3 linked regions of the Macaca mulatta genome follow. The protein of the gene in region 1 purifies or fractionates together with the protein of each later gene. This does not show direct contact. Links are inferred from orthologs where the notes say so. Each region holds a gene or a part of one and is shown in the gene's direction. Other genes may lie near its edges.

The links. The genes of interacting proteins can lie anywhere in the genome.
Region 2: the proteins of ZMYND8 (region 1) and MTA2 purify together in Homo sapiens (affinity purification with mass spectrometry; 3 studies listed by BioGRID and IntAct, with this or other methods). This does not show direct contact. The link is inferred for Macaca mulatta from reciprocal best matches to the Homo sapiens genes ZMYND8 and MTA2.
Region 3: the proteins of ZMYND8 (region 1) and MTA1 purify together in Homo sapiens (affinity purification with mass spectrometry; 3 studies listed by BioGRID and IntAct, with this or other methods). This does not show direct contact. The link is inferred for Macaca mulatta from reciprocal best matches to the Homo sapiens genes ZMYND8 and MTA1.

The regions. Positions count from the first base shown.
Region 1 is NC_133415.1:100,040,490-100,044,309, reverse strand, and holds part of ZMYND8 (MYND-type zinc finger-containing chromatin reader ZMYND8), read left to right. Parts: intron 1-289; coding exon 290-670; intron 671-2,979; coding exon 2,980-3,170; intron 3,171-3,820. UniProt on the Homo sapiens protein: Chromatin reader that recognizes dual histone modifications such as histone H3.1 dimethylated at 'Lys-36' and histone H4 acetylated at 'Lys-16' (H3.1K36me2-H4K16ac) and histone H3 methylated at 'Lys-4' and histone H4 acetylated at 'Lys-14' (H3K4me1-H3K14ac).
Region 2 is NC_133419.1:11,464,495-11,468,490, forward strand, and holds the start of MTA2 (metastasis-associated protein MTA2), read left to right. Parts: upstream 1-1,196; 5' UTR 1,197-1,474; coding exon 1,475-1,502; intron 1,503-1,620; exon of another isoform or gene 1,621-1,903; intron 1,904-2,238; coding exon 2,239-2,306; intron 2,307-2,674; coding exon 2,675-2,768; intron 2,769-3,996. Other genes in the region: EML3 (echinoderm microtubule-associated protein-like 3), read left to right, coding at 47-177, 258-461. UniProt on the Homo sapiens protein: May function as a transcriptional coregulator. Acts as a component of the histone deacetylase NuRD complex which participates in the remodeling of chromatin.
Region 3 is NC_133412.1:178,846,826-178,850,755, forward strand, and holds the start of MTA1 (metastasis-associated protein MTA1), read left to right. Parts: upstream 1-1,130; 5' UTR 1,131-1,668; coding exon 1,669-2,170; intron 2,171-2,317; exon of another isoform or gene 2,318-2,559; intron 2,560-2,584; exon of another isoform or gene 2,585-2,787; coding exon of another isoform or gene 2,788-2,815; intron 2,816-3,930. UniProt on the Homo sapiens protein: Transcriptional coregulator which can act as both a transcriptional corepressor and coactivator. Acts as a component of the histone deacetylase NuRD complex which participates in the remodeling of chromatin.

The DNA.
Region 1 (3,820 bases):
CCGGGTCTTGTTTGCCTCATTGGCCCCCAGAGGTGTTGACTTGTATCTCAGATGTGAGCCGGCGCTCAGTAAAGGAGGCCGGTGCTCGTGGAGATGGAAGACGCAGCAGAAGTGGCCTCAGCGTTAGGTGAGACTGTACTCCTCCAGCGCGGTGTGCGTGGCACGTCGAATTGGTTCGGCTTTCCTGGCTTTCGTAGGTTTTACCCAGAACTTGCTGGCGTCAAGACCCTGCAGGCGAACCTGAGTGAAATCGCGGTTTTTGTTTGTTTTTTCTTCATGCATTGGCTAGTTGTAGGTAAAGCTCCACCATCCACGACGGCGGGCAGCCAGTCTCCCCCGGAAACGCCGGTGCTCACCCGCTCTTCCGCCCAAACTCCCGCGGCTGGCGCCACAGCTACCACCAGCACGTCCTCCACGGTCACCGTCACGGCCCCGGCCCCCGCCACCACAGGAAGCCCGGTGAAAAAGCAGAGGCCGCTTTTACCGAAGGAGACTGCCCCGGCCGTGCAGCGGGTCGTGTGGAACTCATCAAGTAAGTTTCAAACGTCCTCCCAAAAGTGGCACATGCAGAAGATGCAGCGTCAGCAGCAGCAGCAGCAGCAGCAAAACCAGCAGCAGCAGCCTCAGTCTTCCCAGGGGACGAGATATCAGACCAGACAGGCTGTGAAAGGTACCGAGCCTCCCCTTCTGTTCTCCGTGGCGCCCGCTCCCATTTTGCCACATCGACAGGAGAAAGTCATTGCTCTCTTGTTTTTTTTTTTTTTTTTTTTTTAGTTCTCGTTTGTTTCCTGGCCATTGTATCTTGAAGGCCTTGCACATTTCATTTGGCATTATTTTTAAAAAGTGTTTTGCTACTTGCTTTTTTACTTTCGAAAAGTTTTTTTGTTCATTTTATAAATTATACATGCATATATTCTCCTTAAAAGGGGGGCAGAAAGTTTTACATAAAAGTTTATTGTCCCGTTTACCTTCCATTTCATTCTCTCCCTTCCACAGTGACCAGTATCAACCGTTGTAAAGGCTTTTCTATGCATGTATGCATGTATATGTATATATACATATCTGTATGTATATATGTGCGCGTCATGTATATGATGCCATAAAATTAGTCCTTTTCCCCCCCTTTTTTTTCTTTTTTAAAACGTAAAAATGGTACCATACTTGCTTTTTTTTTTTCCCCCACCCATTAGCATGTTTTGGAGGTCCATCCATGTCAGCACATACAGCCCTGCCTTGTTCTTTCGGACTGCTGCGTAGTATTCCATAGTTTATTTAAAGCATTCCCCTCCTGATGGGTATTTAGGTTGCTTTCAGTTTTTTTTCCACTGTGAGCAGTGCTGCAGTGAATATCTTTGTATAAATTTCCTTGTACACATGAGGGAACCTCTTGGAATTATTTTGGAAAAAGTACAGTGCGAGAAGTTGATAGCGAAGGTTACCTTAGTAACTGGAAATTCGTCACGCACAAAAGATGAGCCAGCCTCGAGAACCACTTGCTGAAGTTGCAGAATCAGAACTCCCACCAGCCCTACAGGAGGCTCCATCTGGAGCTGAAATTAGGCCAAACACAGTGCTGATCTGACTGGTTGATACCAGTTTGTCTGGCTTTTGTGAGCATTGATGTAGATCTCTTTCTATCAGGAAACCTGCATCTAGATCCTCAAAGGCTGGGTTCTTCAACGGAAGCTCATAGTGAGTGCGCCCCTGTGAGTGGGGTTCGTGAGCAGCAGGACGTGAGGTTGAAAGGTGGCCAGGTCTTGAATTGGCCCCCAGTGAAACACTTCAAAGATGGCAAGGGAGTGGGTCCTGAAAAATTGGCCAGGCAAAATTGAGAGTACAGTTGGAGTAATCTTGCTGTTTAAAAAGTTGGTGGGGCAAAGCCAAGTCTAGGATATTTGAGATTGGGATTGCTGCTTCCTGTCTTCTGTCTTCATATCTCGTAAGCAGGAGGCTTCCCCAGGGGAGTTTAATTGCTACCAAGAAGAGGGTTGGGCGCGGTGGCTCATGTCTCTAATCCCAGCACTTTGGGAGGCCAAGACAGGCAGATCACTTGAGGCCAGGAGTTCAAGACCAGCCCGGCCAACATGGTGAAACCCCATCTCTACTAAAATGGAAAAGAAAACATAAAACTAGCTGGGCACATGCCTGTAACTCCAGCTACTCAGGAGGCTGAGGTGTGAGAATCCCTTGAATCTTGGAGGTGGAGGTCGCGGTGAGCTAAGATTGCGCCATTGCATTCCAGTCTGGGCAACAGAGTGAGACTGTCTCAAAAAAAAAAAAAAAAAAAACCAGAGAAACAAACAGACAAAAAAAACCAAAAAAGAGTGCTGCCAAAAAGAGGCTCATTGCTTCAGATAGTCTTACACCAAAGTAGGGCCTAGTTAAAAGGGTAAAGACAGATTTAAATCGGTAATACACTACTGTAATGGGGCAAGAGTCTAACATAAACTGAAATTAACTTTGATTTGTACAGAGGTGACTGGGCATTTTAAAGGGAGAATGAGGGAGTAGGGATGGGAGCAAGTCGTTGAAGTTAAACATCACAGAAGCAAGATGAGGGGTTGGTCTTTGTGAAACCCATCTCGATTTGCTAACGGGCACTTCATGAAGTTGGGCCCCTACTCTCCCATAGAGACTGGGATGCTGAAGTCCTGTCTTCAGGTGTTGGTTGGAAGAAAACTGTCAGTTCTTTTGCCAGCATTGAGTTTTCCCAGGCAGGTGCTTTAAGTGGGGGTTGGGGTCATCCTAGCATGCACTCTTGAGCTCTTAGAAACTGTCAGTGTTTGCTCAAGTCTTTCCAGGCCAAGGTTAGGGCCTAGTCGAGAAACCTGGATAGAGTTTGGTCAAGGGGAGCATCTTTGTCATTTAAAAGTAGAAAAGTTCTCAGGACGTATATTAGGGGCTTTGCTTCTACACCACAGCTCTATGCTGGGACGGGTCCTTCCCACGTGGGATAATCAGGATGCTTTGCCTTCCTAGCTGTCCAGCAGAAGGAGATCACACAGAGCCCGTCCACGGCCACCATCACCCTGGTGACCAGCACACAGTCATCGCCCCTGGTCACCAGCTCGGGGTCCACGAGCACCCTTGTGTCCTCAGTGAACGCTGACCTGCCCATCGCCACCGCCTCAGCCGATGTCGCCGCTGATATTGCCAAGTACACTAGCAAAGTGAGTGGATGGGAGAGCTGCCGCAGAGACGGCAGGCATCTGGCAGGTTGCCAGAACCTTGGCCTTGCAAGGGGAAGCATGAGCGTCTTAACCTCGTAGGCTTTAGGGAGTGTTTAGGAAGGAAGACCCTTTTTATTTTTTAAACAGAATCTCCAAGACCACATTCTTTCATTTGGGTCTAACAGAGAAACATTGGAATGGACTGAATCTTAATCCAAGTGGGCTTAGATTCTAAAGTCAGTTTATGAAGTGCAAATGACATATAATCAGAATTACCTTCGAGAATTCAAGTCACTTATAAAGGCACTGGAACACATGACTGATCCTTCAGTGAACAACTGACCAGGGGTTGGGTTTGCATTTAGAGCTTTGCATGTGGAGCAGAAGTGACAGAGTCTTAAACATGACACTGGCAAGGTGAAAGCCCACACTTTAATTTTTCCAGGAATCAAGATGGATGAGGAGGGGGACCGAGGGGACCCCCTCTCCCTCTTCTCCTGCCCTCTGGGGCACAGTCCCTATTAAGTGGCCTGGTGGGCAGGATTGCCTGTTGTGGGCAAACTCATGGTCACTGTCTCAGCACAGGCCCCTTCTTTTTTTCTCTTAATTTGCCAAGTGCTTTTTTTTTTTTTTTTTTTTTTGAGATGGAG
Region 2 (3,996 bases), on another chromosome or scaffold:
GGTGGCGGTGGGTAGGAGGTCGGGCTGAGGCCGGCCACTGTGCTAGGCGTGTGGCCGGACGGCTCCGATGGGACCGACATCAACTCCCTGTGCCGCTCCCACAACGAGCGCGTGGTGGCGGTGGCCGACGACTTCTGCAAAGTGCATCTATTCCAGTACCCGTGCGCTCGTGCCAAGGTGAGGCCGCGGGGGCCGCCGGGGTGGGACGGGTGGGCCCGAGGGCTCCGCCGCCACTGCAAGTCTTCCCTCCCGCCCAGGCGCCGAGCCGCATGTACGGGGGCCACGGCAGCCACGTGACCAGCGTCCGGTTCACGCACGACGACTCGCACCTTGTCTCGCTGGGCGGCAAGGACGCCAGCATCTTCCAGTGGCGAGTGCTGGGCGCTGGGGGCGCGGGGCCGGCGCCTGCCACGCCCTCTCGAACCCCCTCCCTGTCCCCCGCCTCCTCCCTCGACGTTTGATCGCTGCCGGCGGGACCTACTGGCCTGGCGGCGTGGCCCCGCCCCGCTCTGCCCCGCCCTAATCCCCCACGACCAGGGGCCGACTCTTTCCTCGACTGACTTCGAAACATTCCCGACGGTGCATTTCCCTGGAGGGCGCGAGCGGCGCCCCTGCACACACTGTTTAGACCCGCTGGTTGAGCCGGGCAGCCCCAACCTAGGCCTTGACTCCCGCTGCCTGCTGAGGGGCAATAAACCAGAACCAAAGTCGCCTCCCGGTGCTTTTGTGGGGCGCTGCTGGGTGCCTCCGGGGCCCTGTGGGGTGGGGACGAAGGAAAAGAGGCGTGCGGAAAGGGCAAGGGAGCGTAGACCATTTATGCAAATAACAGGCAAAGCCGCTTGCAAATAACCTGGCGAAGCGCTAAGGCGCGCGAGTCTTCGGGGCGGGAGGAGGAGTTGCAGGGCTCCAGCTAGGACAGAGTTAAGCCCCACTCCTCTCCCGCCCTCGGAAAAAGGGGTGGGGGGGGTGCCGAGCTGCAACGGAAATAGCCGAGCGATTGGCCGACAGGAGCCGAACTTCTTCCGGAAGTAGCCGATCTGCGGGGTCTCGCTCTCCGACCTGAGCCGAGCAGTGGGCCTTGTTCTCCGGATCGGCCGAAGGTGTTACGGAAGGAGGCGAACCCTGAGGCGGGCCGGGCAAGCCTTCCCTGCGGCCGGCAGAGCTCAACGACTAGTGGGACTCGGCGGGGGTGGGGGCAGCTGCAGCCTGGCAGGAGCCGAGCTCGTTCCGGAAGAAGCCGAGCGGACCGGGGCCAGCCTCAGCGTCCCGGGAGTGAGGCGATAGCTGCGGCGGCGACAGCGCGGGCCGGGATGAACCGCGACGGCTGAGGCAGCGGAGGTGACGGCTGCGCGGGCCCCAGTGAGACTCCCTCGAAGCGCCAGCCCACCGTTCAGGGCTTTGCCTCTAGCCGAGCCCTGCCCCCGCGAGCCTCCCGGACCCCTTTGTGCGGCCGGAGGCGGCGGCGGGAACGGCCATGGCGGCCAACATGTACCGGGTGGGAGGTGAGTACCGGGCGCAGGGGTACAGGGTCCGGGGCGGGAGAGGTTGTGGTCGGGACCGGAGGGGCTCGGCACCGGGTGGCGCGAGGCGCAGCGTATGGGGCGGCATGGACCGGAGCGCGGACCGGAACCGGAACCGGGAGACGAGGAGCTAGGGTGCGGGAAACCGCGACGCGGCAGGGCGCCGAGACTCCTGGAGAGAAGCTGCGGGCAGCCCCGACGGCACTTTCAGGGCTGCGTCGGGGGCTCCTCGGGGCACGGAGTGGGCTTCGGAAACCGGTTCCGAAGGAGCTGACAGGGTGGGGAGGGAACGCGAGGGGCTGGGGCGACGGCTTTGCCACCGCGGAGGAGCCGCCCGGAGGTTTCCTCTTCCCAGGCGTTATTGTGCGCCTCAGTTCGAAAAGGTGGGGGCCCTGCGCTAGAGCGAACAATTACTTCGCCGCGACTGAGGTGCAACTCGTTGCTGAGTTGTGGGGACTGCAGGGGAATCCCTGCTTCTTGCCTGTTCCTTAAGGCTCACTTTTGAGTAATGGATCTGATTTTAGAACTAGGTGCGGTGGGGGTGGGGGACATCCTTATTTTCTCTTAGTCTTTACACTTTCACATCTCAGCGCGCTCTCTGCCTGAATCCTTATCTTCTTTTGATCCACTCAGGCCAACTTTCTCTCCTACTCTGGTGCTCTGCGTCTCTCCCATCTCCTCTGATCTTCGTGGTTCTCCCCCCTCCCTTCCCTTACAGATTACGTCTATTTTGAGAACTCCTCCAGCAATCCTTACCTGGTTAGACGGATTGAGGAACTCAACAAGGTGAGTGGAGCAGAATCTCTCTCCCTCCCTCCCCCAGTGGTCTCTTCTGAGGTTTCTAACTTCGGGTGGAAGAGAGGACCCTATACTAAGTACCCATTCATATTCATTCATTCATTCATTGGATGTATTCAGGAAAGGCTATTGAGAGCTTAGCAGGAACTTTACTATTCTGTCTCTTGGGGGCAAAGGAAAGGGATTTGGAAGTCTGTCCTTGAATGTAAGTGTTTACTCATATTTTCTTGGGCTTTTTAATTTAGGTCCCTCTGAAACTTACTGTTATTTGTCTCTTTGTGTATTTCTGTTCCCAGATGATCAATTTTCACTGCTACGTTGTTTTGTTTCTGTTTTTGTTTTTTTCCTCCCCTTAGACTGCAAATGGAAATGTGGAGGCAAAGGTCGTCTGTCTTTTCCGGCGCAGGGACATTTCTAGTAGCCTCAACAGCTTGGCTGATAGTAATGCCAGTGAGTATCTTCATCCCTTTCTTTTCCCCCTCCCCATGATCTGAGGCCTGCGCATGTCCCTGCAGGTATTTCCCCTGGTAGCATGCCCAAGGCAGAGGTGTGAGTTTGAGGGTGGGAAATGCCTGGCCTGAGGAGGGAGACCTGTTTTTACACGTTGGGGTTGGAAGCAGGGTGGAGAGATTGTGATATGGTTTGTGTATGAGAGTAGGAGAGAGACGATAAGGTTGATTTAGGGGATGAAGACGGGGTTTAGAGAAACAGAATGCTTTTCTAAAGGGGGGCAGTTTGGGGTACACTGGGACAGTAGGTGGTGACTGAAGGTCAAGGTGAAGAGGAAGAGATTGTACTGAGAAGCCCGCATAACAGAAGCAGCCTTATTTTGTAATCACAAGGTGGTGAGAATACCTGGAAGTTAGAAGATGGCTGGAAGTTTTCTTGCACTTTTTAATTTCTCACCTTGCCCATTTCCCCACCTGCCACCCCCCATTTTACATCTTTCCCTTTTCATTTTGCTCTATTTTCATCCTCTTTAAGGTCTCATTTTCTTTTTTTAAAAAAAAATATTTTCCTTAGCTGCTTTTTCCTTTCCTGCTTTGGTTTTCTTTTTCCTTCCTTTTGTTCCACCTTTCTAAATCATTTTCCTTTTTCAGACTGCTCTGGGTGAGAAGGGGTTAAAGAGGAGCCTGGCTAACCAAGTTCCCTGGCCCTTTAGGGTTTCCAGCCCCATCTGGCAGGGGCTGACCTTGGCCTTGTCCAATCAGAAGGGGTGTTGGGGGTGTGGTCCCCCTTGCCTTAGCACAGGGTTTCCGGAGCACACAAGCGAGGGGTGGAGCCTACTGAACAACCCCCCCTTCTCCCTGAGGTTGGGAACAATGCACCAATGAGCCTGGGCCTGAGGCTTTTCTGCCCCCTCCCACTTTGGTTGGCGCCTAGCCAGATTAACCCCTTCCACTAGGTTTCAGGGCAAGCTGCAGCTCTTTCAGGAGGAAGATGTTGGCACTAGCTTGAGAGGTGTTGTCCTTGAAAACCCTAGGAACTATTATTAGCCAAGTAGAGAATGAGGGATAGTTAGGGCTGCATGTGATGTTTTAGTGCAAAGAGTCTCCTGAAATTGAAAAGAACTGGTAAACACAGTCTTGTGTGATTTTTTTTTTCATCTTACTGGGTTGCTGGACCTCAGGCTGGTTTAGCAAGAGACAAATGTAATGTTCTTGCTGGCCTGTTGTGG
Region 3 (3,930 bases), on another chromosome or scaffold:
TGTGCCACCTCAGCAATGTTCCCACCTCAGCCTCTGGGGATATGCCACTACTTCTGTCACTTCTGTCCTGACGCGAAAGCTCTTTCCTGAATGCCTATTCGCTCCTTTTTTTTTTTTTCTTTTGGAGACGGAGTCTCACTCTGTCGCCCAGGCTGGAGTGCAGTGGCACAAACTCGGCTCACTGCAAGCTCCACCTCCCGGGTTCACTCCATTCTCCTGCCTCAGCCTCCCGAGTAGCCGGTACTACAGGTGCCCGCCACCATGCCTGGCTAATTTTTTCTATTTTTTAGTAGAGACGGGGTTTCACCGTGTTAGCCAGGATGATGTTGATCTCCTGACCTCGTGATCCTCCCGCCTCGGCCTCCCAAAGTGCTGGGATTACAGGCGTGAGCCACCGCACCCGACCGGATTCTTCTTAATTCTTTGTTTTTATTGTTTGACTTACCTGAGGTCTTTGGACTTTGCCTCTGAGCTGGCTTAAGGGCAATCCACCTTTTTCACTGGTCTGGAGTGGGGAGGCAGAGTAGGGGTCGGCTGGAGGAACAGGGCTCTGTGCTGTCTTTTGAGAGTTTACTAAACGTCACTCTGCATGGTAAGGGGTGTGTCCTCTCCGCTGCGGTGTCCTGGCTTGAAGTTCAGATTGTCTCCCTGGGACACCAGACCCTGCGCCGTACTCCCTCCTAAGGACAGCTTTGACTGTCTCCCCTCCAGCAGTCAGTTCTCTCCACCCCCAACAGGAGAAGGAGCAAAGGCTGGTGTCTGCAGGAGTCTCCCCTCCAGGCCAAGGCCAGGGGAGAGTGTGCATGTCACTGTCAGGATGTGTCCTGGTGGCGTGGCCGGGTTTTCAGGGTGAAGCGCCTCCGTTTCTGGGATGGCAGCGGAAGCAGGCACTACACACACAGCTTCGGGGGCTCTCCCCATGCCTCCTAGCTGCCTGGCACTTTCTGTTGTTTCTGGCTAACTTTCTGACCATGCCAGGAGTTGGTGGAAGGAGATCTCAGGCCGCAGCGTTGCTTTCCCGCTGAGGAGACAGAGGTAGGCCGGGGCTGTAGGACAGGGGAGGCAGCAGCCCCACCTTCTTTCTAGGGAGACACTGCCTGTCTGTCATTGCCCCTCTCCTGCACCTGGCCCCTGGCTGTCTGCTCTTCCCACCCAATCACCAGCAAGCCAGCTCCTGTTCCCTGCGGCCCGTAGGATGTGTCCTGGGACCCACAGCCCTCTCTCCCCAGAGACAGCACTGCCTTGCAGCTTCGGTTCCTGGCCCTGTGCTAACCCTGGCAGGGTTTTCCTTTCTAGTCTGCTCTGCAGCCAAGACATTGTGGCCACTGCTCTCCTCGGGACCCCCACCTGGCTTTCTCCCAGCACATGCTGTTTTCTGCCCACCTGGCTGGTGTCCTGTGTGCCGGATTCCCTATGCTCTGTCCCCAGCACCCTGACCACATCTGTCCCACCTGCCTAGATCTTGAACCGTGGGCACAGGGCTCCCTCCTGATAGCCCTGAACACTCCGCTCCATGTCCTACAGGGAGGGATGTCCCAGGTAGATGTCAGCTCCCTCCAGTCACTGACCTCCAGCATCTGAGCAGGCAGGGCCGAGACCCATGGTGCTGCTCAAACCAGCAGCCTGGAGCCCCAAGACAGCTCCTTTTCCTCACCTCCCCCAACACTGATGTTGCACCTGTCTCCAAGCCACTGTGGGACCATCTGTTTTTCTCCATCTGGGAAGCCCCCTTCCCACCTCATGCTCTTCCTGGCTGGGGCGTCTGGGTCACTGGACTCTCCTCTCGTTAGACCTGTGCACGCACGCACACACACACACACACACACACACACACACACACACACACACACAGGAGGGCATCCTGACAGGTGGTGGGGAGGGAGGGCAGCTGCCTCACTGTGGAAAGGGCACGGCCGCTCCCGGACTCCAGCCCTGTTAGGGCTGGGGAGGTCAGCAGGCGCTGGGTTCCAGCCTCAAGTGGGGTCTTCGGAGGTGGCCTTTGGGCACAGGCACCTCCTCTGTGGCCTTCTCACCAGGTCACAGTTCAGGGAGGCTTTGCCGCCTACAGAGCCTGCCCACACCAAGGCGCGCACGGTCACCGGTCCAGAGATGCCATGCGGGCTGGGCGGCGAAGGCCAAGGACACACGCTGCCTGGTGTCGGGGGCAAAGGTTAGGCCTGGAAGGGAGGTGTGGGGTGGGGACCCCGAGGCCAGGGCTGGGCCGCTGAGCTTCAGGGCCCTTGTTGGGGGTCAGGGGGGAATGCCGGAGGACCCCAGCATCAGGAGGAACCCCCTGGAGAGTTATGGCAGGACTCACCTGTGGGGCACAGGAAGAATCACCAGGGAAAGGACCCTTGTGGAGGATCCCCCTCTACCCCCAGGGCACTAGGGGAGGATCTACCAGGGGGGTCTGGTGGAAGGGCCCACCCGGGAAGCGGCGCGCGGGGAGGACTCGGGGGCGCCGGGAGGAACTGTCCGGGAAGGGGCGCGCGGGCCGCGGGCGGCGCGGGGTCGGTAACGGCCCGCGCGGTGGGCGGCGGCGCCCGAGGCCCCTCCCCGCCGCCCGCGGCCGCTCCTCCTCTTCCTCTCCCGCCCGCGCCGCGGCCCTCCCGTCCCTGCGCGGCCTCGGCGGCCTCGGCGGCGGCGGCGGCGGCGGCGGCGGCAGCAGCGCGGCCCCTTTAAACGCCTGCGGCGCCCCCCGCCCCCGCCATCGCGCCTCCATTTTCCCGGCCGCCCGCGCCGAGCGCCGCGCCCGCCCCGGGCCCCTCCGCCGCCGCCGGCCCGGACATGGCCGCCAACATGTACAGGGTCGGAGGTAAGGCCGCACCGCCTTTATGCCCGGCCCCGACCCGCCCGCAGCCCCCACCCACCGCCGCTGCCGCCTCCCCCGCCCCTCCGCCCCGCAGGCCCCGCGCCCCCCGTCCGCCCTCGCGGCCCCCGGCTCCTTCCCGAACCTCCCCCCGCAGTGCTCACCCCAACCCAAAATGGCCCCGCGGGTCGGCCCCATCGGGGGCGGGCGGGGCGCGGCGGCCCGGGGGTGGGGGGCGGCCCACCTGTTGGGGCCGAGGGGGCGGCCGCGGGGGTGGCGGGGGGGCGCGGGCGGCCGGGGACATCCGGGGGGCCGGGGCCGGGAGCCCCCCGCGGGAGCACGTGGCCTTGGGAGGCGCCGGCTGCCGGTCTGGGAGCAGGAGTTTTGGGGCTGTGGGGTCTCCCCCGGCCCGCGGCCCTGTGCTAGGACTCCGGTGCGTCCCCTCTGCGGATGGGGAGCCCCGGTGAGGGGCCGCGTTCCTCCCTAGAGCCCTCCTGCAGCCTGGCCCCGGGGCTTCCCCCCGCAGGGCTCTCTCAGGGGGTCTTCAGCAGGGAGCGAGTATCCCGAGCACGCCTCTAAGTCCCCCCAAACTTTTCCCTGCCTCCCGCTCACCTCAGCCCATTCGGGAGGCGCTTTGCTAGGGTTGGGGAGAGGCCGGAGGGTCCCCTGGGCAGGGGCCCGGGGCTTCCTCTCTGGGTCAAGCCTCCTGTTGCTCGGGCCCCGCGGGCCTGCAGCTTTGGGCCTTGCCCTCCTTCGAGTGCCTGGGACTCCGTGGGGTCTTTCACAGGGAGATGGGGGGTCGTGCGCATTCCATCATTCCATCAGTGCCTCCCTCCCCGGGACTCTTGAGACCCCTCCCTGCCTGTGACCCTCTCGGCAGGTGCCCATTGCCTCTCCCACCTGCAGCCTGCGCTGCAGGAGGGAGCTGGGGTCTCTCTCGCTCTGACCTGATCCCCATGCCCGTGACCCCGAGTGCCCAGAACACGCCGTGTCCCTCGAGCGTGGCCTCTGCTGCCTTGGACGCCGTGTGGTCTCGCCGGCCAGCCCTGTGACCTTGGGGACTGTGGGAGCCCCCTACACCCCGTCTGTGAGATGGGCGGTCAGTCTGCATCAGCAGCTCT